4 linked regions of the Oreochromis niloticus genome follow. The protein of the gene in region 3 binds, or shares a complex with, the protein of the main gene of each other region. Links are inferred from orthologs where the notes say so. Each region holds a gene or a part of one and is shown on either strand. Other genes may lie near its edges.

The links.
Region 1: ik (region 3) and sf3b3 share a complex: the UniProt entries of both Homo sapiens proteins name them as parts of the spliceosome B complex. The link is inferred for Oreochromis niloticus from reciprocal best matches to the Homo sapiens genes IK and SF3B3.
Region 2: ik (region 3) and mfap1 share a complex: the UniProt entries of both Homo sapiens proteins name them as parts of the spliceosome B complex. The link is inferred for Oreochromis niloticus from reciprocal best matches to the Homo sapiens genes IK and MFAP1.
Region 4: ik (region 3) and zmat2 share a complex: the UniProt entries of both Homo sapiens proteins name them as parts of the spliceosome B complex. The link is inferred for Oreochromis niloticus from reciprocal best matches to the Homo sapiens genes IK and ZMAT2.

Annotation. Positions count from the first base shown.
Region 1 is NC_031972.2:7,733,413-7,740,480, forward strand, and holds the start of sf3b3 (splicing factor 3B subunit 3), read left to right. Parts: upstream 1-4,060; 5' UTR 4,061-4,218; intron 4,219-4,766; 5' UTR 4,767-4,824; coding exon 4,825-4,894; intron 4,895-5,248; coding exon 5,249-5,404; intron 5,405-5,699; coding exon 5,700-5,870; intron 5,871-7,055; coding exon 7,056-7,068. UniProt on the Homo sapiens protein: Component of the 17S U2 SnRNP complex of the spliceosome, a large ribonucleoprotein complex that removes introns from transcribed pre-mRNAs.
Region 2 is NC_031965.2:1,538,436-1,545,586, reverse strand, and holds the start of mfap1 (microfibrillar-associated protein 1), read left to right. Parts: upstream 1-4,129; 5' UTR 4,130-4,268; coding exon 4,269-4,350; intron 4,351-5,633; coding exon 5,634-5,850; intron 5,851-5,943; coding exon 5,944-6,082; intron 6,083-6,168; coding exon 6,169-6,356; intron 6,357-6,840; coding exon 6,841-7,110; intron 7,111-7,151. Other genes in the region: vps33b (vacuolar protein sorting-associated protein 33B), read right to left, coding at 768-863; hddc3 (guanosine-3',5'-bis(diphosphate) 3'-pyrophosphohydrolase MESH1), read left to right, coding at 1,376-1,487, 2,665-2,720, 2,808-3,048, 3,227-3,357. UniProt on the Homo sapiens protein: Involved in pre-mRNA splicing as a component of the spliceosome.
Region 3 is NC_031975.2:33,418,494-33,426,179, reverse strand, and holds the start of ik (protein Red), read left to right. Parts: upstream 1-4,675; 5' UTR 4,676-4,876; coding exon 4,877-4,886; intron 4,887-5,395; coding exon 5,396-5,462; intron 5,463-5,574; coding exon 5,575-5,667; intron 5,668-5,742; coding exon 5,743-5,802; intron 5,803-6,151; coding exon 6,152-6,319; exon of another isoform or gene 6,320-6,404; intron 6,405-6,473; coding exon 6,474-6,588; intron 6,589-6,648; exon of another isoform or gene 6,649-6,681; intron 6,682-6,701; coding exon 6,702-6,772; intron 6,773-7,002; coding exon 7,003-7,049; intron 7,050-7,297; coding exon 7,298-7,461; intron 7,462-7,594; coding exon 7,595-7,686. Other genes in the region: ndufa2 (NADH dehydrogenase [ubiquinone] 1 alpha subcomplex subunit 2), read left to right, coding at 1,751-1,854, 2,903-3,009, 3,096-3,187. UniProt on the Homo sapiens protein: Involved in pre-mRNA splicing as a component of the spliceosome. Auxiliary spliceosomal protein that regulates selection of alternative splice sites in a small set of target pre-mRNA species. Required for normal mitotic cell cycle progression.
Region 4 is NC_031975.2:32,927,399-32,934,883, forward strand, and holds zmat2 (zinc finger matrin-type protein 2), read left to right. Parts: upstream 1-4,463; 5' UTR 4,464-4,556; coding exon 4,557-4,574; intron 4,575-5,563; coding exon 5,564-5,663; intron 5,664-5,776; coding exon 5,777-5,900; intron 5,901-6,271; coding exon 6,272-6,345; intron 6,346-6,507; coding exon 6,508-6,653; intron 6,654-6,733; coding exon 6,734-6,877; 3' UTR 6,878-7,344; downstream 7,345-7,485. UniProt on the Homo sapiens protein: Involved in pre-mRNA splicing as a component of the spliceosome.

The sequences.
Region 1 (7,068 bases), on a different chromosome or scaffold from region 3:
AGAAGTATCAGGACAGGGTGTGAATAAAAGTTATGAGTTGTGTTGCTGCAGAGAAAGTTGTTCACTCTGGTGAGGTCTAATGTGTCTAATGGGAGGCTGAGCCTTCAGCTTTCCTGTCACTGTCCTGTGTAAACAGAAACGCTCTCGTCTTTTAACATTAAACTCATAACTTTCCTTTTTGATCAATCTTATAGCTACAGCTAGATCAGCTGACCCTGTCCCATCCTTTAGTTATGCTGTTATAGGCCACAACTGTATGGTTTAAAAATAAACACTCATAAAAAATCATTGTTTCATTGTCTGGTTTATTCTTTTTCCATTTATCGATTATCCAAGTCCTTTTTCCAATGTAATTTAGAGAAACAGAGAAACATATGTCAATACTAAGCTGTTAAGAGGCTACTTACAATAATCTGAAACCTGTATACAGGCTGTGATCAGCTGATCTGTTGCTATTGTTGACCTGAGGTTTACTGCTTTCTGTGGATTTACACAACTGAATCCAACAAGATGTACACAGATGTTTCACAGATGTTTCCATCCCATACACCAAGGCTATTCAACTAAAAAGGGACACCTGCATTCATTCCAGCCCACTTTAATCTGCGAGTGTAAGCAATATAAATGATACCATTGGACCTAAACTAATCAGTCTGTTTCTAAAATCTCAGAAGTAGACAGTGGAGATATTTGCTTACTCAAGTAAAGCACAGATACCTGAAAATTCTTCTTGAGTACAGTAACAAAGTATTTGTAATTTGTTACTTCCCAACCCATTGTCTCGAAAGTACCATTTAACAATATAAACCTCTAGGCTACACTCCCACACAACAACAAAAATCAGTATCCTAATGAGGTCACACGTGTAATGTTTATCTTTAGGTACACAAAGCAAGGGTGATCCCCAGCACAAAGACACTTTAAAGTGATTGGCACAGTGATTTTACTTCAGAAACATGAAGAGGTAGAAAGGAAGCAGCAGTTTTCCACTTTACTACTCTCTCTTGTCCTTTTGTGCAATAAAAAAAGTAATTTCAATATCCAGGCTGTATACTGCGCTACCATTTTCCTCCCCTGGTGCATGACCTGAAATCAGCTGGTTGTAGCTGAAATGCAAGTGGAACCGATAAGCAGGTGTCTTTATTAAATGTTTTTGTTACTACAAAGTCAAAATTTTATGATGGTTTCAGTATTTTAATCATTGCAAGCCCTGCATGTTTTCTGGAAGAAGAAATGACGATATCATTAATTAGATTATACGACATCCGAATCAGATTTTAGAGGAAGAGTTCACACCAAAACGAAATGTTTGCACTTTCCTATGTCCTATAATGTTATGGCTTCATTCTAAGACATCTGCTAAGGAAATGCCAGAAATGCCTGCCAATAAAACTGAAAAAAAAAGATTAAAATGTTAGTTTCTTCATGGCTCATAAAGCAGCAAAAATCAAAAAATTGAAAAACATCTGGAAAAACTGAGAAGCAATATCTATTTGCAGAAATGATAAACTGGTGACTTAACACTTAAGGGCTGGGGGTTGGGTGGGGTGCTCCATAACTGTTTTTGTCATGTAATTGGATTGCACTTTGTCAGGCCTCTACCCTAAGACCTGACCAACTTGGGTGTCCCACCTGAAGGCTAAGCTTCCGCTGATCTAGCTTTTAGGGTCACTGAGGCACGCAAACCCCCTGACCACGTTAAGGTGGTAATCTCTCAGGGGGAAAACAGAAAAACAAAACAACAAAAAATAAAATAAAATATTGCTAATCCGATTCTAACAACTCAAAACATGACATTTACCTTAACCGGATGGCCTATATAATAAATATATTCGAACCCAACAATAGTACGTCACACTACTGCCAATATCAACAAAACCAAAAAGGGTAAGCCAAGACATAAAAATAGACAATTCACAAAGTCTTGAAAAATAAAACTGAAAAATAGAAATAAAGAATAAAAATCCTCAATCCACTCTATAACAACAGTCTCCTGCTTCTCTTTCCAAAAATTCTTACAGATTCATCCATATCCAAGTTATATGTTATGGACTTCTCATGGGCCAAATTTCTCTTTCCTTTATGTAACAAAAGTAAATAAGCTTTACTAAAATCGCTGTAATTACATCAGTATATGAAACGAGGTAACTGTTGAGTGCAGAGTTGAAAGCTGGTCTGACAGACACAGGTGCGTCTGTGCAGCAGACTATGGAACGCCAGGACTGCCATAATGAATAATTAAATACACCATTAAATAATTAATTAAATGTGGCAATAATTAATTAAAATTGGAAATAATTAATTAAATAAATATTTACGACATATTTAATTAAATAATTATTGACACATTTAATTAATTATTTAAAGGTGTATTTAATTAATTCATTATGGCAGTCCTGGCGTTCCATAGCAGACAGGCTCACAGTGGGATTGAGAAATAAACACTTCTCTACCAGACTGAAACTGTGAGAAGAACAATGGCCTAGTCCCCCACTGACTGTACAAATATAAACTTATTTTTTAGTTGTTAATTATCGAGTTCTTGTGCATAAAAACATGTGGAAGTCTGTGAAAGTGCACCTTGTGTAGGAGTCGCAAGGAAAACCTGTACTAGAGAATGAGCTAAAGCAGCTCAACTTAGTTTCAGTATGGAAGCGCAGAGCTGCCACCCAGGCAAAAGAAAAATAGAAGTATATCACGTTATAACGTGAAAAGTTTATTGTTCTAACAAGATACTTTTCATGTTTGTACAATATACTTTTCACGTTTGAACAACATAATATCACGTTATTGCAATATATATAATTATCACGTTCGTACAATATAATATTTATATTGTACGAACGTGATAATTATATTGTACGAACGTGATAATTATATTGTACGAACGTGATAATTATATTGTACGAACGTGATAATTATATATATTGTAATAACGTGATATTATGTTGTTCAAACGTGAAAAGTATATTGTACAAACATGATAGTATATTGTACAAATATGAAAAGTATCTTGTTAGAACAATAAACTTTTCACGTTATAACGTGATACACTTCTATTTTTCTTTTGCCTGGGTGGCAGCTCTACGCTTCCGTAGTTTCAGTGTTTAAACTGTCATTTATATTTTTTCAAAGCAAAGCCCAATGCTGTCGCCACTGAGTGAGCATCAGCGCCCTCTGCAGTTTGTGTGTAGAAGTCAAAAAAGCTTACAGCACCTGGTATTCCCAGGCGGTCTCCCATCCAAGTACTGACCAGGCCCGACCCTGCTTAGCTTCCGAGATCAGACGAGATCGGGCGTGTTCAGGGTGGTATGGCCGTAAGCGAGAGAAATAGCACATAAAAGGCCTTTTATAGGTGGCAAGTGTCACCCAGTTTAATATACATTATTGCGTTTTACAGCGAAAACATGCAAACCTTCGTTATTAACTGCAGCTTCAACATTGAGGTACAAAAATGCTTTTCCCGCAGTAACATCTCAATAATAACACTTGTTAGTTTATTACAGCACCGTGTTAAAGTGACAGAGAGCACACGGTGTGTTAGGACGATTTGTAACGTCAACTAATGCCTTCTTATGAAGGTACGTCTGTGTATATCAGTGATCATTATATAACTAACCTAACAAACTCCTTTTGCCTTGTTTGCTTTTCCCATTATCTCTGCCTACCTTGGTGCTGCTGGACCCCGCATTTCTCTGACGTCCCTCACATGGGCCACCCCATTTTAAAAATCTTGCAAAATTTTTCTTAACAGCTTTGTAATTAAGTTAAATGTAACTTAATATCAAGGATACAAACATCATTGTTTATTTTCTACTTTTTGCCTTTCTTTTCTGGTGTGCAACAAGCATACAGGTTATTTATTGTTTTTGACTAAATAGTAGAAGACGTAGAGTGCTATCATGATAAAGCGTGCAGAAGAAAGGGGCAATAAATGTAGTGGGAAACTATTTTACAGATATTGTTTTTCTTATGGCGCCCATTCGCGATAATTCCGTTAATCTTGAGGTCTTTGTCGTCATCTGCTGTGCACAATACAGTACTACAGTCTCGCATTTCCGTCAGGCACTGTGTGGGCCAGCTCTTGCGACGGCGTTTTGGCTGGCGAAGGACCCACCAACGGCGGTTCAGCGTCGGCTTCTCAGGGTTTCAAGGAAATAGTTTTCGTAAATGAAACTTTATCCATCTGAAATCAGAGTCATCTTACTAAGCACACCGGTAAATATTATATCTTGCAGATCTGCATCTTTTCCGCAATTAAACGGACGTTTAATGTGTGTGAAGTTTGCACTAGCTAAAGTAATATAGCAAGAAAAAAAAAGGGGGGGAAGCGTTAATCAGAAGTGGCGCTTTGTATGAATGGGCCATGTTCTCAGACTCTTGGATTGATGTAAACGATCTTTTTAAGTAGTTTAAATTCGTGTTAAAGGAATGCGTGACCCCTATTGCACGGTTTAAAAGCACAGAGGGTAGTACATAAATGTCCGGGGAACGTTAATTTTCTCACAGCTAATGTTGAGCTAACGTTAGCGGCGCCGTAGGTTTTGTGTCCAGCAAACACTACACCGCTCCACCAACTTTTCATAGCAATATTGTGATGAGTGCAGTCGCTATGTATTGCTCCACAGTCCACTACAGCTGACCTCAGTTTGAAGATCCCTCATTTGTCACCAGTGCGACCGCGTAGCTTATTGTGACTTTGTCCAGTGGTCTCAAACTTCTTGATTCCTTACTGTAAATACACTTTTGGTTTTCTTTGTTTACAGTTCTGAGCCGGGTTAAGCGCTCTTTCAGCTTCCTCTGAATAAGATTTGAGTGGAAGCCATGTTTCTCTACAACATCACCCTGCAGCGTGCCACTGGCATCACCCATGCCATCCATGGAAACTTCTCAGGTGAATTTACGCCAGATGTCACTGCTTTATGTCTGGTTAGGTCATGGTTAATTTATCAAAGCTTGGTAACCCTCCTTTATTGTCAAAGAAGCCTTTAACTGCAATCTCTATGAGAATTAGCAAGCACATTTAATTGTTTTATTTAAGTATCTTTTCTTGTGTTTGTATAGTCATTAGATTTTATCCTATCATGGTGTTTCACTCATTATGTTGATGGAGATAATGTAAAGCGTAGTTTTCTCATGGTTAAAAAATACATAAAAGACATGTCACATAATGCTTTTTTAAAAGCAGGATTTAGGGAAAACCAACAAAAATATCTACGTGATATGTCTGATTTGTCTGTTTTGGTAGGAACCAAGATGCAGGAGATTGTTGTTTCCAGAGGAAAGATCCTGGAATTATTACGACCAGATGCCAACACAGGAAAGGTGCACACTCTTCTCACAGTAGAAGTGTTTGGCATCATCAGATCCCTGATGGCCTTCAGACTCACTGGAGGAACCAAAGGTACAGAAATTACATCATATGCACTCACATGCATGTGTTTGTAACTCTAAACATGCATTGCACAGATTAAATGGCATGTATTAATAATTTTCTCTTAAGTGGTTTTTATTAAATTTTTTGTCTGACACTGATGTATTGTTCGTAGTTGCTTTCTTTTTTTATTCATTTACAATTAGGAGGGGAAGTTGGCCTCCATTGGCTTTCATTACCTAAGCTTTAATTACATGATAGTATCATAATTAATCTAATGTTGACATGCAGGTTTAGTTTCTAAGTGATATTTATGTATTTTTAGATTACATTGTTGTGGGGAGTGACAGTGGTCGTATCGTCATCCTGGAGTATCATCCATCAAAAAATATGTTTGAGAAGATCCACCAGGAAACATTTGGGAAGAGCGGTTGCCGGCGTATTGTTCCTGGACAGTTTCTTGCCGTTGACCCAAAAGGCAGAGCTGTAATGATAGGTGAGAATTTTATGAAGTATGCATGAAATCAGCATTTGACCAGTATGAGGAGTCCATCCTATCAGACAGAACACAGATGTTTGTGCTCTGTTTAGTTTTATTGTGCTATTTTCCTTCTCTCGTAAGATGAGCACCCTTTATTTGACAAAGATGAACAAGAGCTAACTTTATCATACACACTGCTAGGATTTTATGTGTAATCTACTGTGGTGTGTTTAGCGTTGGATGTAATCACCACGAAAAAGCCCATTCAGTGCCAGGAAAAACCCTTGCATTACAAACCAACACTGAAAACTATGTACTCCAAAAGAGTCCATCAGTTAAGACTGATGTGTTTTAAAGGTATTTATTATAATGTATGTTTTTTGTTTTTTTTAGGGTTATATAGTGTGCGTGAATCTGCAGCTTTGAAACTGCATGAAGCTCTTTGCAGCAAGACTTTATACAACCTGGCCTGTAGTGATTTTTAAATAACTTAATATATAAATATATAAATAACTTATTTAATTTATTTGTTGTTAAGTAGGCTGCGTTTAATTTGAATCCTTTGAGTCCTACTTGCATTTGAGCAAAGTGGGCCTGGATAGCTTTATAACATCTATGTTTCTAAGTAGGCCTAAACATACTAACAGATGCCTCTCTTTTTTTTCTCCCCCAATTCAAAATTGTTCCATTTGGTAATAAATTACTTTTATGATTTGACAAATGCAACAAAACATGACATTTTTAACGAAACTGCAAAGTTGATAGGTTTTATAATATGTTTTGTGGCTCCATACAGTTATTTATTTATTCATTTATTTATTTATTGGCAAAGACAAAGGTTGTCAGCCTATTAGATGATAATTTGGTTTATAGGCTGATGATTATTTTTCTTATATTTGGGCCTTGGTGTGTTAGTATAATGTCAATGGTGTAAATATTGCTATAATTGACTTAACCCCAAGAGCTTTACAGGTGCTTAATATAATAAACCAGCATCAAATGCTATAAATTTGGTAGTTCTACATCAGATAATTTTACCTTTGACAGAAGTGCTTTGTGGAACAATTACGATGTTAAATAATGTGTGCTGAATTATTGTTGTTTGAATCCTGAAGAAAATTTATATATACACATATAAATAGTTGTATTAAAACCAGTTAAATGAAGCACTTTAATGTGTTTTGTCATTTATCTGACTAGGAGCGATAGAGAA
Region 2 (7,151 bases), on a different chromosome or scaffold from region 3:
CAATCTGCTCTTCACAACACAAAAAGCATCCCTTGTTTTGTTGTAGTTCCTGTTTTTTGTCTTCACCGAGTCTGAAGTACATCACAAACTAATGCGTGCATGGCTTAGTCTGCACACAGTTTCTACACTTTCTCCACTGATTCTGACAATGTTCATTTTTGCCTAATTAAATAAAATTAAACTGTAAAACTGACTCCTATGGCAAAAGTAAACTGTAGTTTGGTGGGGACAATTTTCATGTGAAGACAGTATAGTTCAGCATATAGGAGTAATATTTCTCAACATAAAATCTCAAGCAAATGGCTGCAATCTTTGGCTTTCCAGCAGCACTGCATTAGAAATAGACATGATTCTGCAGCAGAAATCACTCCATGAGCTGGTGGGCACTTTTAAAAGCCACTGCCAGACAAACGGTTTATTGTTATCTCCATAAACACAAGTTATAATTCTATAAAACAAACAAGAAATACAGTAGACTTCATTAAAAGCACAGAAGGCCAAAGGAGTCTCTATTTTCTGACATCACTGAGGTCCTTCAACATCCACCGGACGCTGCTCAGGATGTTTGATGAGTCTGTGGTGGCCAGTGAGGTCCTCTGTGCTCTGAGCGATACCAACAGACGTGTTGCTCGTGAATGGGTGTGCAGTCAAATGATAAAGTATAATAATAAAAAACAAAAAAGAAGAACAGTGCCATATGCATGCTATACATGCCAGTCATATTACTGATGAGCATGTCTTCAGCAGAAGCTGTGACTTGCTCCTACCTGTTCCAGCAGGTAGATGAGCTGATCTCTGGCCAGCCTCTTGAGGATGGAGAAGTCGGGGAGCTCCGGGGAGTCTCTCCTGGCACTGTGAGCCATGCTGGACACACGACGGAGGCCGGACAACACTCAGTCATCCACGGCTGGCATAAACAAAGAAAATAAATAAATAACTCATATACAAATATAATGTTTAATAATGGAGATACAAAAACCAGCAGAAACATATAGAACAGTCAGAGATCTGTGCTGTGATTATCCTCCCTGCTGGCTTAGCTTCAAAGCTAAAATCACATTCATCACATAAATGAAGATATAAAGTATCGAATACGCTGACACTAGTGTGTAAAAATTTCCCCCAAAAATATAAAATTAATGCCAGAAATTTGACCGTTTATGTCTTTTGAAACATAACACTTTATCTTATATCTTATGTTAGCAGCTACCTGCTTCCGTAGCTAAATAACTGGAATGATCCCACGACCAGTTGTTTCCCCCCGGATCATAATACGAACGGACCGCCACAGTTTTGCTCGAAAGACGTTGAAAATTAATTCACCTAACAACGCGGTTTTTCTGTTACTGACCTGACAGGACGTGATTTTTACACCATGAACTCAGATGCAGCTTTATTGTTAGAAACTGTCCAATTTGCCGCAGAGAAACACCGCAACCAGAAACGTAAAGATCCAGAGGAAACGCCGTATATAAATCACCCCATAGGTAGGTGTGTTTTTACGGTAGTATGATGCATTCACGGCCTGTACGTAAACCCGTGAAGTCTCTCACTCTTATCTTTAAAAGAAAAAGAAAAAAAAGTTTCTGATGTTTAACTGATACGATACCGGAAGCCGTGGAAGGAGGGAGTAGCCGAAAGGAGCGGTACGATCAGAACTAACCAGTAAAGTTATCAGGGTTTACTCGCATACTGCAGCTATATCACTAATATTTAGTGTTTACCATTTTATGGCAACAAATAGTTTTGCAGAAACTATATTTCAATTAACACGAGTGCCTTTATTTTGATTCTGGTGATAATAGCCTGCCGTGTAATAGCGATACGTTATTTTTCGGCTGTGTGCTCGGCACACAGTGTATAGTCTCACGTTGGAGGTGGAGGACGATTGATCCGGTTTTTTGTTCAGGCGTACAAAACTAATGGCTTTTTGTGTGCAGGGGATTTAGCGGCATCTAGTGGTGAGGCTGCAGATTGCAACGAACCTAATATCTCCCCCACTACCCACTGCTCCGTTTTTCTTTGCTGAGCTAATGATAGCACTTGGCAGTGCTTTTCCTGTCAGGGCTCCAGACCACTAGAGCTGTGGGGGACTTAAAGGGACAAGCTTTGAAAGGATAAAGAAATGCACCAAAAATAATACTGAAAAACATGAATTATTTTCCCTCTCATCTAATTTTCCATGTATCTATTCTTATTATATTGTCTTTGTTTGTTTTTTTAACCCTCTCCCCCCCCAAATTTGTATTTTTACATTTCGTTAGACATTCTGCTTTATTATGCAAAAGAGGAGCTAGTGATTGTTTCAAAATATCTTTTGAGACTACAGTTCAGTGGATTCGTTTATTTTGGTGTTAGGCAGGAGTGCCATAGATGGGCAGCCAGTGATTAAGCTCCCTCCTTGTTGTCCCTGTGTGTAAAGGAAGTTTCTGGTGGTTCGTCCACTTCTTCTGTGTGAGTTTTATTTTCCTACTTACAGATGAGAGCTATGAGCTATGTTGTGTAGAAACTTAAAGTTCTGAAGGAGCTCTTCAGAGAGGAAATGTCTGATTATAAATGAGTTTTCTTGTTCTATAAGTGACTTCTCTTAGCAGCCTGGAAACAGTGAAGCTTCTTGTTTACTGTCCTCTCTGCTACTCACAACTTTCTGTGTGTGCTTTTAAGGAGTGGCGAGAATCCTCAGCCACGAAGGGGGCGTCACAGACATCGAGGTTTTGCAGGTGAGTTATCAGTTGTTAACTGTTAGTCACAGTCACGTGCACGCATTCTCACATCAGTAATCCCATGTGCTTCCTCCCGCTCTGCAGGCCGCCCTGCTTCATGATACAGTAGAAGACACCGACACCACCCCCGCAGAGCTGGAAGCTAAATTTGGGGTAACCGTGGCTCGCATTGTTCAGGAGGTGACGGATGACAAGAGCCTGCCCAAGCAGGAGAGGAAGCGTCTACAGGTGGAACACGCACCTCACTGCAGCCAACAGGCCAAGCTGGTTAAACTGGCTGATAAACTGTACAACCTGAGGGATCTGAACCGCTGCACTCCTGTTGGTCAGTACTTCTCTGGACACAGTGCTGTTTGCTACAAAATGGAATGCTGTGTAAAAAAATAAATAAAAATACAAAATGAAGAGGATGAAATGCTTTGGAACACTTTATTTATTTGGCAGAAGTGCAAAAGACAACATATCAAATGTTGTTCAGTTATGTTTCTGAATGTGTTTGGCAGGTTGGACAGCTGAGCGGGTGCAGGAGTATTTCCTGTGGGCCTCTGAGGTGGTGAAAGGCCTGAAAGGAACCAATTCAGCTCTGGAGAAGAAGCTGGAGGAACTCTTTAAAGAGAGAGGAGTCCAGCTCTGACAGCAGGGCCACAACACAGTGGAGAAATGCAAATAAAATGCTTTTTAGTTTGTAAATATTCAAAATAAATCAAATTGAATTTACATTACAGTGTCTAATTTTCTGTGCATGGTTTTGCAGGAAAGTTGAATGTCTGATGTTGTGGTGTTTAGTAGTTAAAAAGTAAAAGATGTTACTCCTCATTTGGCAATTGTAGCTTGTGCACTGTGATGGTCCGTTTAAAAATAAGCCTATTTAGATATAACACACATTTGCAGGACTGCATTACACAAAGCAAACAATTTGGCACACTATCACTATACATTTTATGCTCAGTAATTTTCTTTAAAAGAAAATAAATAAGCTAATATAAAACAACAAGGAGATGTAGTTCATTTGAGTATTTTCTCTTGAATCGACCTGATATCTCTATTTCATTAATAGTTTTAGTAACTCCTTTACATGTTACATGTCCACATTTAAAACATATCGGATTATTAGAAATTATTCTACTTTTTAACCAAGAAAACAATAAATAATTGAATTTATTCGTACAAAAAGAATGAATGTTTAGCTCAGCAGCCTGCAGATGGCGCTGTTACACTAAAACGTTTCAGAATATTAACATTCACTTTCACCCTTCCCTGTTTTAGAAAGTTAACTTCATCATTTTTTCGCAAACTTGTTTCCCGTGTAAACCAAATGCCTCACTTCTGGGGATACTAAATGACATTATCTTCTGTATTAAAGTGAAATGAACACAGTCATCGCTCACCGGCGGAAGAACTGTCGGAGCAAATTCACTTCCTGTCCGTTCGCCGATTGTGTCAAACTTCCGTTTGAGTTGAGCGACGACGAGGAATTCGTTTTGTCAAAGTGAAATACTCCTTTTTTTAATCTTTGTACGGTTGCATATCGTGGACCGGGCAGTCATGTCTAGTCGCGAAGCCCTAAACATGAAGCTTCCACCGATCCAGTCCACGGCCGGAGCCGTGCCGGTCCGGAATGAGAAAGGTGAGCTTGTGCGGTTAGTAAGCAGGGTCCTAGCTGCGTGCTAAGCTAGTTAGCTGGAATAGCAAAGCTGGTAGTAAATTTATGTACGAAGATATATGCTGGAAAAAATGGACTGTACTTTTTTTTAAACTTAATTTAATAACATTAGTGTAACAATTTAACAATTGAGGGAAAGTGTTAACAAAATTATCTTCGTCTACATAGTTGTAGTTGGATAACGGGTCTCAATAAACCTGATGGGATCCTGCACTACCTGCGGCCTTCGAGTGGAGTTGCATTAAAACAGAGCCACGTTTTTATTGTGGGGTGCTTCAGTGGGAGGTTTGCACGATTTACACATCAGATAAACTTTCAGTCCACTCTGTGTTAAACGAGCTCCTGCGTCTTTAAGCCAAAGGTTTTCATTGGCTGGCCTTCCTAAACAGAAGGTTTTTAGAGCAGGTGACATGACCCAGTTGGGGATATTCCCTCTGTGTGACATAATACAGAGTCAAGAGTAGAAAAAAACTGTCCGCATCAGCGTGTTGCGAGCGGCCTGAAGTCAGTGAGGACGTATATACACAGACATCAGCACTGTCAGGCATTGCAGTTACCTAAAGACCAGTGACCCCATAATCGGAATCTTTATTAATCCCTAAGGAAGTTATGTGGGTTACAGTTGCTCCAAGACAGTAACAGCAACAGACTAAACTAATTAAGTAACACAATATGTTGCAGAGTTTACAAATGTAAGAAATAGCACTAATATATACATGTAAATACACTCAGTTTGATGTCACGTGTGTTTAAGAAAAGTTGGATTTAATTCTTACTTAAAAAAGAAAAAAATGTTCTAAATTAAAATTTTGCTTCATGTCAGTGGACTCGTTGATTGATAAAAGTATTTTTTAAAGGTTTTTATTAGATTTGCTATATACAAAGAAATTGGATATTAGAAGTAAATTAAATAATAACTGAAAGACAAACTGTGTGTAATCATTCATTTGGGGTTACCAGTATTGTATAATATTAAATAAATTCATGTTTAGGTACTTTTAAGATGATTTTTTATGATTTGCATGTCCTGTGAGAAAGGCATGAGTTTTCTGGTGATCAGTTTGTCATGTAATGATTTAGTTACCAGTAATAAATGATGACATTTATTACTTGGTCTTAACTAAAGATTAAAATGAGAAACTTCAAAGTTGGTATTATTTGTGGTTCTGCTGAGCTGGTATTCCTAATCGGAGAACTTTACGTAGGTTCAAGTGTGATTAAGAGGATTGTGTCTCTCCATGTGCCAGGTGAGCTCTCCATGGAGAAGGTGAAGGTGAAAAGGTACGTGTCGGGTAAACGCCCTGACTACGCGCCGATGGAGTCGTCTGATGAAGAAGAAGAAGACTTCCAGTTTGTGAAGAAGGGAAAAGAAATGGAGACAGAGGTGGAGCTGGAGGAGGAGGATGTCTCTGATCCACGTCTCAGGCGTTTGCTAAACCGTGTCTCTGAGGACGTGGAAGAGAGGTGGCGCCCAGCGTTTACGATCTGATTCAAGTTCACCAAAACGATCATGTTGGAAAGCTGACGTGAACATGGTTTGTGCCTGTTTGTCCTCAGGCTTGCAAGACACAGACAGATAGCAGAGCCTGAAGTTGTGGCTGAGAGCAGTGAAGACTCTGATGAAGGCACGTGGCACCCACAGCGAGAGGAGAGCAGTGAAGATGAAGAGGAGGAGGAAGAAGAAGTGGATGATGAGGTGCCTTAATGCTTACATTTGTCAAAAGTTTTTTTTTCTTCACTTATTTGTAGTGAGACATGTTTTTTTCTTCTTGACACTTACAGGAAATCGAGAGGAGGCGAGCAATGATGCGTCAGCGAGCCTTGGAAAGAAAGAATGAAGAGATGGAGGTCATGGAGGTGGAGGAAGAGGGGAAATCAGGAGACGAGTCGGAGTCAGAGTCTGAATACGAGGAATACACCGACAGCGAGGACGAAGCAGAGCCGCGGCTCAAACCTGTCTTCATCCGCAAGTACGAGATGAAAGTTTGTAGAACAACGTAAATCCAAAGACCATATTTATCAGTCGCAGACGGTCAGTTTTCTGTGCAGAACGTTGACAGATCAAGACACACAGGAAGTGTCTGCTTGCATTTCTGAAGGAACAAAAATTAGCAACATGGAGAAAACATATTCTGAGTGATGAGTGAATGATGAGTCTTTTATCAAGTGTGCTTTGTCTCATTTATCCAGAACACTCATGTCATTTGGAAACATACAGGACAGTCTGGAGCTGTTCACACTCAAAAATGTGTTTGGAAACAGCTCGAGTAGAGCTGAACATTTCTGTCAAAGTAACTCCTGAACACTTTATTCCTGTTAAAGCCGCCCCTCGTGCAGCTCTGCGGTGAAGAAAGCAGCTGCGCTTCGTGTTTTAGATGGAAGCAGATCACAACGACACCGGCCTGAATACCAGGCCCTTAACATTAATGAGCACATGAACTGTTTTCTCCACAGAAAAGAGAGAGTCACAGTGGCAGAGCGTGAAGCAGAGGAGCAGAGACAGAGAGAGTTGGAGGCCGAAGCGAAGCGGCAGGCGGAGGAGCGACGGCGCTATACCCTCAAGATCGTGGAGGAAGAGGCCAAGAAGGAGTTTGAGGAGAACCGGCGCACGCTGGCTGCTCTGGACGCTCTGGACACCGATGGAGAGAACGAGGAGGAGGAATACGAAGCCTGGAAGGTCAGAGAGCTGAAGCGCATCAAGAGGGACAGAGAGGCACGAGAAGCGTGAGTAAACACCAGTTTGAGTGACTGAAAATGAATTTGTG
Region 3 (7,686 bases):
CGAGAGCACGAACTCAGAAGGTTCAACGTTCCAGCGGTGAGCTGCTCTGTGCCACTGCCTTAAATAGCAGCTGGGGAAATCAGCCAGATCAACAGCAGGTGGAGACAATCACACAGGTGCGTGGGCCAAGAGCGAGAGCCCGTAACGAGCTCCACCCAGGCAGAGAGGAGGAGGAGAGACAAAGAAAACAAAAAAGAACAACAACAACAAAACCTGTAGCCAGCGTGAGCCAACCAGAGAGACACGGGGACCGTGACATAAGACCTCCACCAGAGCATCCCCAACCACAGACAGGAACTCCACCCTGTCCTGATCCGACCCTCCGTCAGACACAGTCATCTCAGTGTGGAGGAGCAGACTCTCCTCTTCATCTCTGGGAGATGGCTGATGTCACTGCTGACATCACTGCTGATATCACTTGTAGTGTTGCCAGCTTTTTACGTACCCAGTAATAGATACTGTGGTGTGCCAGAAGCACAGCCGGCTGGGTGAAGTGTAAATATGCACTGTATGTTCATATTCTTATAAAACACAGTGAACTGTCGACCACTGGTCATTATCTACTATATTTTCAGACTCTCTCCAGACCACAGCCGGAGTTTCACACTGACTCACAAAACAAGTCTGAGTGTTTTCAAAAATGGAGTTCAAGTTATTTTTACTTCGTTTGGCGTTAACACACTCCACAGGTCATGAACAAGATTTCTGTAATTTTCACTGTTAGTGGGCTACAGTGTTCTAGCTTAGATGTTCTAGCAGACATCTAAATGCTGTAATTTGATTCTTTTACTAAACCGTGTAACTTGGATGGATGTGATGCTGCCGTGACCACAGTGCACACATGTGATGTTGCTCACAGTGGTCCGAGCTCAGGGAGTGTGTGTGTTTGTTCAGACACATGAAACATTAGAGGGAACACTGCTCACCGCCTGTCTGATTCCTGCTGATCCTATCATCACAGTTTCCCCTGCTCCTCTGATATTAACATGAAGACGTGACTAACTGATCTCTTTGTAACTGATAACTGATTGATGATCAGAGTCCATCACAGGGGGTCTGGGAAACGCTGGAGCCACTGGTCTTACTGGAAATCACTGACACTGCCTGTGAGAGTTTCCCTGTGAGGGGAGCTGGAAGCGCCCCCTGCAGGTCAGAGCAACATCACACACCTGCTGACTGATGTGTGGATGTCAGTCATCAGTCTTTATTCTGCAGTAAAACAACAGCTCAGGTTCATTTAAAGTAAAATATATCTGTGCTTAAAGGTATTTTTCACCATTATGGATCATTAAAATAGTAAAATCTTGTGAAACATAATTGAGTTATTTGACATATGATTTGAGATACTTTGTGAATTTATTTAAAAGCTAACTGTTTTTTAATAAATATAGAATGGCCAGAGAAACCACTCAAAATAGTGTCTCCCTGTCAGGATAAACTCGGGTCGATCATTGTGCCTGTCAGCATAAACTCAGGTAAATGGCCTGTATTTGTACAGCGCTTTACTAGTCCCGCAAAGCGCGACACACACACACACACACACACACACACACACACACACACACACACACACACACAGCCTTCCGATTACAAGGCAAACTCCCAACTCTTGAGCCACGATCGCCCCAGGCACTATGCCACGATCGTCGAACATTGTGCCTGTCAGGATAAACTCAGGGTTGAATGTTGCTCCTGTCAGGATAAACTCGGGGCACTAGTGACACTCCTCCGTCCTTGACAGGAAGCTAAGATGGCGGCCGCCGTGGTGAGGAGTCTGGGCTCCACTTTGGGTAAAAACCTCCGGGAGATCCGCCTGCACCTCTGCCAGACCTCCGCGGCCAGTAAAGGGGCCAGGTGAGCTCAGAGCCGGCCTGCTGAGGCGAGAAGAGCCGGTGATGGTTTGACAGAGCGGTCATTAGCGAAGGACAGCTAACAGCTAGCGGCTAACAGCGCCGCGGACTCGGGTTTACAGTGAGAGGTTTGCAGGTTTGACCCCTGTGAATGCTGTCAGGATAAATCTGTCTGATCACGTGAAGACTCATAAAGAGAGATGATAACAGCAGCTGCAGCTCATTAAACAACAAAGTTGCCAAAGGAAACACACAGAGGCAGAGGTTTGACTCACATCTGGACAGAAGCTCTGGCTCCTGCAGATGTTCGGCTGTGAGTCTTATGTAGTTCATCATGTTCCAGATGTTTGTTCATGGTGGAGACCTCTGAGTCTGCGCAGTGACACACACACCTGAGCCGGCCACTCAGGCTCCATGATCACAGTATGACTCATGGCTGTGACCTGTGTGAACCCACAGGATCACAGACAGATGAAGGTGAAGGAGATTTCATCGTCATCATCATCATCACACTGTGATTAGCTGAGGAGAGAGAGCTGACCTGCAGCAGGAGTCAGGTTATGGAGGAGACAAGGAGCTGGAGGTCAGATTAAGGAGCTCCTTCATTTCCTCGCTGCCCATTAGCAGGGACTGACCCTTCAAAATAAGAGCATGCAGACTGTTGGTAATCTGGTCATGTGAGGGAAACACTGACACGTGACAGAGTATTGATTTATGGATCAATCCATTCATTAGTAACAGAATAATGATGAGCAGATGAATAAACAGTGGCCATGTTTTATTTTTCATTTTGTTGTAGTTCACCTGCAGGTTCAGGGTCCCTCTGACTGAACGTCCTACAGAGGACACCGTCTGATGAGCGGACACCTCGGCGTACGTGTGATTAGTGTCATCTATGCTGGGACATTTATGTTGGTCACTGTTTATGTCTCTGTGACAGCATCACTTCCTGTGGGATTAATAAACAGTTGTTCAGGTGAAACTCAGACAGGTGATGCTCCTGCTGTGAGGTCACAGGTCAGCTGACCTTCCCCCTTCCCCCTGTGTTTCAGAGACTTCGTGGAGCAGAGCTATGTGACCCTGAAGAGGTCCAACCCGGAATTCCCCATCCTGATCCGGGAGTGTTCTGGAGTCCAGGCCCAGCTCTGGGCCCGATACGGTGAGCCCCCCTCACGCTCGGCATCATGGGAGACTCAGATGTGTCACCTGTGTATTGACCTATTATTGATCCCTATCTCTGTTCAGATTTCGGGAAAGAGACGAGTGTCTCCGTGGAGAACATGTCAGCTGATCAGGTGGCCAAAGCTCTGCAGACTCTGGCTCAATCCAAGCCCTGACCCCCGTCTGAGCCCGCAGTGGTTCAGTCCATCCACTCACCTGTTTTTGTTTCTGTAAATGTGCTGATGTGAATAAAGTGAACATGTGAACGTCCCTGTTTACCGTGAGGTCACTGGGTCCATCAGCAGAGTTTCTGTGGGTTTACTGGGAGTTTATTGACGCATCCAAAGTTTTTCCTGAGTTAAAGTCACATTACTTTGTTTATGTTGAAATTAGAAATAAGAAGTTCCTGGGAGCATGTAACTGGATTTCAGATATTTATACTCCGAGTGTATAAATGTACAGGAAATTAACTGGTATTTTAGGAGAATCAAGTGGTTTAACTGGTTTTAAGGTGTCTTAATGGGAACACACTCAGTTTCATTGTAGGTTTATTGGGATTTATGGGGTTTGTTTGGGTCTGACTGGTTTAAATGGTTCAGGCTCAGTGAAACAGAAACACTTTGCTGGTTTTCTGGAGTTTGTTGAAGGAGCTCTGAGTGAAGCTGTGTGAGTCCTGAAGGTGGCGCAGCAGCGAGCACCAGCTGGTCCTGGAGAACCTTCAGCTGTGGCTCTGCTGACCTGCGGGGGGCGCTGTGAGCCAGAGAAACAACACGTGACCGGGCAGGAGAGCTGCGGGTGTTTCAGTGTGTGAGGAACAAAGTTGAGCTGTGAATAAAACCCTCAGTGACGCAGAACAAACGTTTCATCAAATCAAAGAACTCTTCATTTAAACTACATGAAAATGACCTTTAAACACAGACACTGTAGTCGGCCTCTATTTTATAATAACTTTATTATTATTTTATTTTCACCTCATTTTAACCGGATTTATACAGTTTTGGGCTATGTCCACACGTACACGGGTATTTTTGAAAACGGAGATTTTCCGTTTTCGTTTTAAAAAATAATCCCGTCCACACGTAAAGGCAGAAATGAAGGAAAACGCTGCTACGAACATGCCAAAGCAGCAGGTGGCGATATATTCCTAACCGTGTAGAAATGTTGGCCAATCAGAAGTCTAGAAGCCTCGGCGGGAAATAGTAAACAAAGCTGGGGCATAGAAGCAGAACCGAGTCGTATGTGTGGAGGGACAGTAACTGTGCATGTATATGTAAGCATTTAGACACTGCAGAGAGGACAATTAACAGTAACAGTATTGTAGAAATTCATTTCACCGAAACAACAACGTGGCGCACAGTGTGACGTCAAAAAAGGCGCACACCTTTGACGCTGCGTTTTCTCCGTTTTTCTCGTCCACACGTAAATGCAAAAACGGAGTTTTAGAAAATATCCACCCTGGCCGGAGTTTTTAGAAATCTCCGTTTTCAGTGACCGAAAACGGCGTTTACGTGTGGACGAAAGGTGCAAACGCATAGAAAAATCTGCGTTTTCAAAAATACCCGGGTACGTGTGGACATAGCCTTGTTGTTTTTGTTTAAAAAATCTTGCGGTGTTTATTGACACTGCTGTCTGTCCCGCGGTGTCTCCTCTCCTCCTGCAGGAGGCGCTGTGTCTGTTATCTATCAAAACGGAAGTGACATCACAGCACCGTAGCTCTCCTCACAGCTAACTCGGAGCTTGGTTGGAGCAAAGAGACCCGCAGCAGCTCAGAGAAATCCGAACACCGAGCCTCAGTTTGTCCCTGTGACCGGATCAGACCGGACCGGGCCGGATTCAGACCGCAGGAGAAGCAGCTGCCCGCAGAGATGCCTGAAAGTAAGCGTTAGCTCCGCATGTTAGCATGCTAACAGTCATTGTACGGGCTGTTAGCCGTTAGCTATTTGTTTACTTAAAAACAGCAGCAATAAAAACAGGAATTATTCAATACATGATTGAAATAAACACGGCTTTGGGAGAATGAGGACTGTGCTGGACTGAACAGTTAGACAGAAAAAGCCTCTCACAGCAGCTGTTAGCCTAGCTTCTCCTCTCACTGCGCCACACCAGACTCCGTTCACACTTTTGCCGCTTTAAAACTTCCTTGCTCCGCGGCAGAAACGCAAAGCTGTTGAGAGGTTGTTAATAAAACTGTAGCACAGTGAAGGAGTCCCTGTACACATCGGCCAAGCCGGTTTATCTCGAAATCAAAGAGTTTCCATGAAATCTGCAGTTTTTTGAGTGTAAAACAGGGAACATATAAAGAGCAGAGCAGCTCCCAGCTGTGTCCTTTTAAATGACGCGCACCTGCTGGGCTGGCTGTGCTCTAACATCTGTCTGTCTTTCAGCTGAGACTTACTCCAACCCTCTGGCTCCTGAGGGCCATGATGTGGACGACCACCGAGCTGCAGCTCAGTGAGTCTCACACACACACACACACACACTCTGATACACACTCCTCACTGCTGCTACTGTGTTACTGTGTATGTCTTTATTTTAATGTGTGTGTGTGTCCGTCTGTCCTCAGGTCCAAACTGACCAACGATGACTTCAGGAAGCTGCTGATGACGCCGCGGGCGACGCCCTCCTCGGCCCCGCCCTCCAAGTCCAGACATCATGAGTGAGTGATGTCACAGAGCAGCAGACAGTTGTTTACTCCTAGCACAGCTGACACAAATGTGTTTTTATTTCCCAGAATGCCGAGGGACTACAATGAGGATGAGGACCCCGCAGCGAGGAGGAGAAAGAAGAAGAGGTGGGTGCTGATTGGATGTTTGTCACATCAGAAAACTGCCGGTCAAAGGTCACCTGGCCTCCACAGAGCTGATAGCTCGCTGAGTGAAAGATGGCAGCTGGGATGCATGACGGGATTGTGGAAACACGGGAATATTCTGGAAGGAAGGGAATGAATTTTCACGACATTTAAAGAGTTTTTTATTATTAATAATGAAAATCCTGGACAGAAGTTTTCACCTGTGATGTGCACGAGAGCGTTAAATATGTCGACACATACAGCAGTCCACAGCACTCAGGGCCACAGACGGCACCGCTTTGACCCTCAAATGCACGTTATTGATTATTGATCAGCTGTGGTTTGGTTGCAGTTACTATGCGAAGCTGCGTCAGCAGGAGATGGAGCGTGAGCGCGAGCTCGCCGAGAAGTACCGAGACCGAGCGAGAGAGCGGCGAGATGGTGTCAACAAGGACTATGAGGAGACCGAGCTCATCAGCACTACGGCAAACTACCGAGCTGTCGGACCGACCGCCGAGGCGTGAGTACCACCCATCGATGACCCCAACATGGCCGCGGTGAGAGGAGCGGGTCGTTATCATTTTAACTAAACTCTGATCATTCACCTGTGTGTGTGTGTGTCTGTCTCTCTCTCTGTGTGTGTGTGTGTGTGTGTGTGTGTGTGCACGTGTCAGCGATAAGTCGGCAGCAGAGAAGCGCCGTCAGCTGATCCAGGAGTCCAAGTTCTTGGGAGGTGACATGGAGCACACTCACTTGGTGAAAGGTCTGGACTTCGCCCTGCTGCAGAAGGTCAGAGGTCACAGTCGTCAGGATAACCTGTGCGGGTGTGTTACCTGCTCAGCTGTTTACCTGTGTGTGTGTGTGTGTGTGTGTGTGTGTGTGTGTGTGTGTGTGTGTTACAGGTGAGAGCTGAGATCACCAGCAAGGAGAAAGAAGAAGAAGACATGATGGAGAAGGTCCAGAAAGAAGCCAAGTAAGGAACCACGGAGCAGAGCTGCAGCCCTGTGATCAGAACCTCACCTGTCTATGTGACCTTTGACCCCCTCATCTGTCTGTCTGTGTGACCTTTCACCCCTCATCTGTGTGACCTTTGACCCCCTAATCTATCTCTATATGACCTTTGACCTCTCATTGGTCCATCCCTGTGACCTTTGACCCCTCACCTGTCTCTGTGTGACCTTTGACCCCTCCCCTGTCTGTCAGGAAGGACGTGGAGCCCGAGGAGAAGATGGAGTTTAAGACTCGTCTGGGTGAGTCGTGTTTTCTGGAGGGAAAGTGTGGATGTGGGGGGAGGAGGAGGACGGGAGTTTGAGCCGAAGCTGAAACATTTGAGGGAACCGAGGAGTGAATGTTGTGAGTCTGGAATGTTCAGGAATAAAGGAGGATCGTCTCCGGATCAAACGGAATCTTTTTAGAACAACGTGAATATTTTGGTAGGAGAAATCATGTAAACGTGAATATTGAACCTGGCGTTCCCGGTGTCTCCGTGTTCGCTCAGGCAGGAACATCTACCGCGTGGTGTTCAGGTCCGGCGTGGCCGAGAGGAACGAGCTCTTCCTGCCCGGCAGGATGGCGTACGTGGTCGACCTGGACGACGAGTTCACCGACACCGACATCCCCACCACGCTGATCCGCAGCAAGGCGGACTGTCCCAGCATGGAGGTGAGGCCGAGGGCTCGCCGCGTCATCGCCACGCCAAAACATCTGAGTTCTCCAGCTGAATGATTTGAATACCACAGAGCCCCGAGATCGTTCCCTCACGTTCTCTCACGTTGCCCCATGTTCTGTCTCTCAGGCTCAGACCACCCTGACCACCAATGACATCGTGATCTCCAAGCTGACTCAGATCCTGTCCTACCTCAGGCAGGGAACCCGGCACAAGAAGAT
Region 4 (7,485 bases), about 490 kb from region 3:
TTCCTGTCCACGCTGGGGCCTCATAGCCTCACCTCCTCTTCTCCTGCGGGGGGCGCTCTTTCTACCTCTGTTGAAAAACATGACACTACAGCAGCTGCCACACCAGTTGGTGGCGGTAATGCACCATTTTGCTCTTTGCCAATAAAATCTATAAAGAAGAAGAAGAAGAAGCACAAAGGTTGACCGACAACAGATTGATGAAACCCATCCAGCAATCACAGTGGAGAAGATGATTTTGTTCACTGCATATGTAATAAATTGTACAGACCAAGTTAAACACAAAATGGAAAAGATTAAAATAATTGTAAAAGGGGCTGAGAAATCTTTTGGTATAAAAGATATTTCCTGGGAGCAAGTTCATAAGAGACTGTGGGGAGACGAGAAGGCAGGAGGACCAGGGGAGAGGACAGTCTGATCGTTATACAGTGGAACGCTAGAAGTTTAATAAGAAATGGACAAGAATTTAAGGGATTTATTAAGAATCTTAGAAAGAAACTGCATATTATCTGTGTTCAGGAAACTTGGCTCAGACCAAATTTGGATTTTGTTATTAAAGGGTATGAGAGTATTCGGAGGGATAGAAGGGAGGGCAGAGGGGGAGGGTGTGTTATATTTATCAAACAGGGAGTTCAGTATAGAGTGTTGGGAGAAGGGACACAGCTGGAGTATATTGTAGTTGAAACTTGGACAAAAAATGGAAGCATAAGCGTAGTAAACTTTTATAACCCATGTAAAAGACTGTCACTGGAAGTAATGGAAGAACTTGGGGGGCACTTAGGGGGGAAAGTAATTTGGTGTGGAGATTTCAATGCTCATAGCTCATTATGGGGAGATTACAATGACCAAAATGGAGCAGTGATTGAAGAATTAATGGAAGTTAAAAACTTGGTGTGCCTAAATGATGGAAGCAGTACAAGGGTCAACAGTAGGGACAGAATCATCAATTGATCTCACATTAGTGTCAGATTCTTTGGCGGGTGATAGGTTTGTAGCGTAAACCTATTCGCTGGAACGTTCAGGACAATTTGCTACACAGCAAGAACAAGACACAAGTAGGCAACGTTCGTTGTGTTACTCATGCATGAGGGAGGCCTGCCTGGAGCCAAGTGTCGTTCCACCTACTTGACCTCCATCAGACTCTCAGCCAGGTTCCCCATAGCACTTCTTTTATTGTGGTTACTTGAATATGCATAGGGTCATTAACATATAACGGCTTACATGGGTATACATGTGAACAAGGAATACCCTGCCTGTGGTTTTGTAAGTGTGTGTGTGTGTGTGTGTGTGTGTAAACTGCTGACCAAAAGGGTCATAAAGCAGGAACAACATCCTAGGTCATAAAGAGGGTAACCTCCCCACACCCAATCTATGGTTCACCCTAGATAACACAGTGAAGCCATACAAAGGGCAGGAAGTTTTACCACATCAAAAGAAGCAGATCTTCCAGATAGGATGTATCTGCAATAAAACACTATAGCCCCTCACCCAGAACCTCGAGAATCTGGGGAGGGGAGAACAAAAGAATTCCTTTCAACACACAGTTAAAGTACAAATGGTAAGAATAAAAATGACAAACATTTAACAATTCACTCTAACAGCGGGTGTTTGTTCATGGCGAGTAGTTAAAGAGACAATGGTGGGGACCATTATCCGGTACAGACTGAGATAGCAATGACTGTGGAGAGGTGTGATACAGGAGGTGTGCACAAATGGTGTTTTGGATCTGCAGACTGGGAGACGTTTGAATGAGTTAGTGATCTGGAGATGCAGCAAATTGATATGAATGTTAGTGTTGATGATCTAAATTCACCTGTGTGTGGTGCAATTCTGGTAGCAGCAAACCAGACTATAAAGCTGAAAAGAGGCAGAAACAGGACGATTGTAACCTGGTGGACAAAGGAATGTGATGAAGCAATTAGGTGCAGGAATAAAGCTTTTAGGGTGTTAAAAAGGAATCAGAATTATCAGTATTTTGTTGAATATAAAAAATCACAAACTATTGTGAGAAGAACCATTAAAACTGCAAAGAGGGACAGTTGGAGGAGCTTTTGTAGTTCTGTGGGGAGAGAGACAAACATTGGTAAGGTGTGGTCAATGATCAGAAGGATGAATGGCATTACAAGGAAATGTGGGTATCCAGTATTAAGTGAAGGGGAAGTCACAGCGGTGAAAGAAGAAGAAAAGGCAGATATGATGGCAAGAACCTTTGTTAAAATCCATAGCTCAAGTAATATTAGTGAAGAAGGTCAAAGGGGAAGAGGAATTACAGTAGCAGCAAACAGGGAGATACTGCAGCAAGTTGATGACACAAATGTTTCATTGAATATGCTGTTTACAAAGACAGAATTGAACCGGGCACTTAGGAAATTTAACCTTTCAGCACCTGGAAAGGATCAGATTTGTTACACGATGATAAGTCACTTGAGAGACTCGGCTAAAGAAGTTTTACTAGACTGTATAATAGAGTTTGGGAGGGAGGGAAGTTGCCACAAAGCTGGAAGGAGGCAGTGAGAATACCGATACGAAACCAGGAAACTACAGACCAACAGCTTTAACATCCAACGTCTGTAAAATAATGGAGAGAATGAGAAATGAAAGATTAGTGTTTTATGTAGAAAAGAAGGGATATCTGGCTCAGTATCAGAGTGGTTTTAGAAGAGGGAGGGGTGCAATGGATCCAGCTTTATGTTTAGAACATGAGATAAGGAAGGCACAAGTGAACAAGGAGAGTGTGCTGGCGGTCTTTTTGATATAAAGCGTATGATATGATGTGGAGGGAAGGTCTATTAATAAAAATGAGGGAAATGGGTATAAATGGTCGAATGTTCAGATGGATTAAGGATCTTTTGGAAGGACGCCAAATAGTAGTAAGTATTGGGAGGAGTTATTCGGAGAGTTTGCCAATAGAAAATGGAACGCCACAAGGAAGCATAGTTAGCCCGTTATTGTTTTCATTGCTGATAAATGTCAGGGTCAGATTATATGGACAAGCATTAGAAAGGGTAAAACAATTTAAATATTTGGGGTTGTGGTTTGATGAAAGGATGACATGGACTATACATATTCTGAAAATAATAGATAAATGCAAGAAAGTGTTGAATGTAATGAGGTGCCTAGTGGGAACTGATTGGGGGGCTGATAGGAAATCTTTAAAAGCTATTTAAACTGGGTTGATTAGGTCAGTACTGGATTATGGGTGTGTAGTATTTAATTCTGCTGCCAGAACAAGTCTTCGTAAGTTAGATAGTGTCCAATATCAAGTGTTAAGACTTTGCTCAGGTGCATTCAAAACAACATCTGCAGCAGCACTACAGGTAGAAATGGGGGAAATGCCGTTACAAATATGAAGAGAGCAACTGACATTGAATTACTGGGCAAGTTTACAAGGACATGGTCACGATCATCCGACAAAATCTGTTTTCCAACCATGCTGGGAAAAAGAGAAGTGAATTGAAGAGCTTTGGGTGGACAGTGGGACAGAAAGCAGCTGAACTTAATCTGGACAAGATCAACATAAGTCAAACAGCACCGTTGCCTACAATACCACCATGGATACCACCATGGATGCTCCCTGATGCAATAGTAGATTTCACAGTGTTAAACAAAAAGAACAAGGAGAGGGGTTTTATTTTAAATTCACATACAGCACAGGAATATATTAATCACAGATGCATCAAAGAATACAGCCAACCAAAGCAGGATAGCATTTATAGTTCCTGAGTTTGGTATCAAGGTGGGGAAAAGGATCAGTGGCGATTTATCAGTGTACACAGGTGAAATGGTTTCAGTATTGTTAGCTGTCCAGTGGATTGAAGAAATGAAACCACTAAGATCTGTGATATGTTCAGACTCGAGCTCATCACTGGCCAGTCTGCAAGACAGCCACTCAGACTGCAGACCTGACAATCTGATAGAGATCCAGCAAACATTGTTCAGACTTGTTATGATGGGGCTTGTGGTCACATTCTTATGGGTACCAGTGCATCATGGAGTTAAAGGAAATGAAACGGCAGATAGGACAGCAAAAGTTGCAACAAGAAGAGCGATGGTAGATATGGTTAATAGTGTGAGTAGGACGGAGTTCAAGAGTAGAATACGATACAAAATGAAGGAAAGGTGGCAAAAGCAATGGGAAGAGAGGAAAGGGCGATGGTTTTACAAAATCCAAAGGAAAGTGGAGGAAATGAGAAGTACAGGACGAAACAGGAGAGAGGAGACGATTATATCTCGACTGAGATTCGGACACACTGGTTTAAATAGCACATTGTTTTTAATAGGTAAACACTGTACAGGGGAGTGTGACTGCAGTAGGGCACAGGAAACAATAGAACATGTTTTGTTGCATTGTCAGAAGTATGATATTGAAAGGAGACAACTGATCAAAAAGCTGGACGATATGAAAGTGAAGTTGGACTTGATTGATTTATTTCGCATGAGCTGGTGGAGTTGGTGGCGGTAATGCATCATTTTGCTGTTTGCCAACCGCCAAAAAACCCTATACAGAAGAGGAAGAAGAAGACGAAGCTGCCGTCATTTCCGGTCACAAAGTAAACAAGATGGCGTCAGGCAGCGGGGTGAGTTTCTGAGCGTTTCTTGTTTAGAGTAAAAACATGAAAGCTCGGCGGTGTGAGCAGGGCGTGTTTCACTCTCGGGGTGTGTGGTAGTCGGGGTTGTTACCGGGTCCGGTTCAGGCCGGTTCTCCGTCTTTAGACAGCTGTTTGCAGCGCGCTTAGCTAGCAGAAGCTAGCATGCTAACCGTGACCATGTTCAGCGTTTCCGGTTTCATTTCAGACGTTTTCTAAACCTTATTCCAGTGTTCGTTAACCCGCTCTGTGCTGCCGGGCACTTCGTGTTTGTTTTTGTCCCTCCCGCAGCTCTGAAACAGATCAGCTGATCAGTGTTAGCCTGTTAGCACAAGCAGTATAGCTTCCCCGTCATCGGCCTGTCAAAATAAAAGCTTCACCTCAAAACAAGGAACTCAGCTCAGGCTTGAATTAAAATGTTTTTATTTCAGATATAAAGACCTGCTGCTTTTCTGACTTTAAGATGATCTGTATTTTAGTGATAAGCCACATGTTTGATTTGTAGAGAGAGGAGGCAGCAGGTGGAGGTGAAAGTTACACGTCTTTATTTTCAGAATCGCGTTTATTGGCCATGTATATGAGCAAACACATACAAGGAACTTGGCTCCGGTAGATGGTGACTCTCAAGCACAGCAATGTAAATCACAACAATATGTAAACGACCCAGTACACAGACACACACACACATCTCTGTATATACAGACATACACGTACACATGCACACATACATACACAAAGGTGTATAAACCAACTGTAAATAACCAATCTAAATCTTATATACATAAAATACACGATTAGCAGTTAAAAATAAAAGCTGAAGCTCAGACAGTGTTTTAACCTTTGAATGGGGAATAATCAATAATCCCAATATTGATTTCATGTCACTGAATCAATGTTTCTGTGGATTGTGATTTCCACTTTGTGGTCAGCTCTACAGGAAGTGCGCGCGGTAACGGCGGCGTCTCTCTTTTCTCTTCCAGTCGAGTAAAAACGACTTCCGACGGAAATGGGACAAAGACGAGTACGAGAACCTCGCCCAGAAACGTCTGGCGGAGGAGAGGGAGCGCGAGCGGCGAGATGGTAAGAACATCAGCCGCTTTGATTGTTCCGAGTTGAACATACTGTGCCTGCTCAGAGGGAGGAGCTTAGGCTTTTAATTTCTGTATTAACCTGTCACATGTTGGCACCTTCAGGGAAAACGGCGCCGCCGGTCAAGCGGGACCTCCTGCGTCACCGGGACTACAAGGTGGACCTGGAGTCCAAGCTGGGGAAGACCATCGTCATCACCAAGACCACGCCGCAGGCCGAGATGGGCGGGTAAGACCAGATTCACACGCCATCTTCAAGTTGTCACGCAGACTGAAACCAAAACAAAAGCTGAACGAAAGCAACCGCTGACATGTGACGTCACAAGTCAGCTGCAGCTGCTTTGCAGGTGAAAATATGGCGTGATGAAGGCTGAAGGTTCGAGCAGGCAGCTGTTTGTGACTCGCTGACAAGTGGAGGTCAGTGTCAGGACAAGCTCCGCCCACACCGTCAGCTGAAATCAGTTTAGCTCTGTTCTGTCAAACAAACGTGTCTGATGATCTCGCTCAAAGTTTGGGCTGCGCAGCTGCTGCCGCCATCCTCGTTATACAGGTGGTGCAAGGACATACGGGTGACCTTTTTTTCTTCTTCTGGTGTTTCAGGTATTACTGTAACGTGTGCGACTGTGTGGTCAAAGACTCCATCAACTTCCTGGATCACATCAACGGCAAAAAACGTGAGTTCACAGCTGAAAACGCCAAAATAATCTGATCAGAGAGGAGGCTTTTATTTTGAAAATCATGTCAGATTTCAGTCAGTGTTGCTGCAACTTCCTCCAACTCTGAAAGTCGAGTGTGTGTGTGTGTGTGTGTGTGTGTGTGTGTGTGTGTGAGAGCAGATCAGAGGAACCTGGGCATGTCGATGCGGGTGGAGCGCTCGTCTCTGGATCAGGTGAAGAAAAGATTCGAGGTGAACAAGAAGAAGTTGGAGGAGAAGCAGAAGGAGTACGACTTCGAGGAGCGCATGAAGGAGCTGCGGGAGGAGGTGAGGAGGAGTTTTATGGATCTCGTGAGGTTTTCGGGACAAGCGTGTTCCTCACAGGTGTCTCTGCTGCGTCTTTTTAGGAGGAGAAGGCGAAGGCGTACAAGAAGGAGAAGCAGAAGGAGCGGAAACGACGGGCGGAGGAGGACGTGGACTTCGAGGAGGACGACGAGATGGCGGCAGTGATGGGCTTCTCCGGCTTCGGCTCGTCCAAGAAGAGCCACTGAAGCTCCGCCTCTCTGAGGCAGGAAGCAGCTTTCTGCCCCGCCCTCTCTACATCAGGCGGAAGTTCGGACTTAGGCGGAGCTCATCTTGGACTCTTATTTTGTTATTCACAGCCAGACTCTTATTTTGTTAGTTCATCTAGATGTAATCAGCTGCTTCCTGTTGCTCACAGGATGCTGATTAAGTGTTTGTTAAATCCTGCAGGCAGTAAACGCAACAGGTCAGAGGTCAGACAGGAAGTAGCTGTCAGGAGTGAGAAGGCATTCAAGGCTGCACAGAAAAAATCTGAAATTTTAAATTTTGATTTCCCGGGTTTGTGTTTGAGCTTCTTCACATAAAGTTTTGATTCAAACACACAAAACATAAAACTTTATTTAAAGCACAGCTCAGACAGTTTGATCCCCGTCTGTATCAGCCCCTAGGCATGCTGGGAAATTCAGATTGTAATAAACAGTTGTTTTTTTTTAAATTTCTGATTGTTGCTTGTGTCAGTGAACGCACCACAGAACCCAGGCTGTTTGTTCCAGACATCAGAGTGACGCTTGCCTTTATTTCAGATGTGACACTCATTCAAGATCAGAGGTCACCTGAAGCTGGTCATCAGTTTACT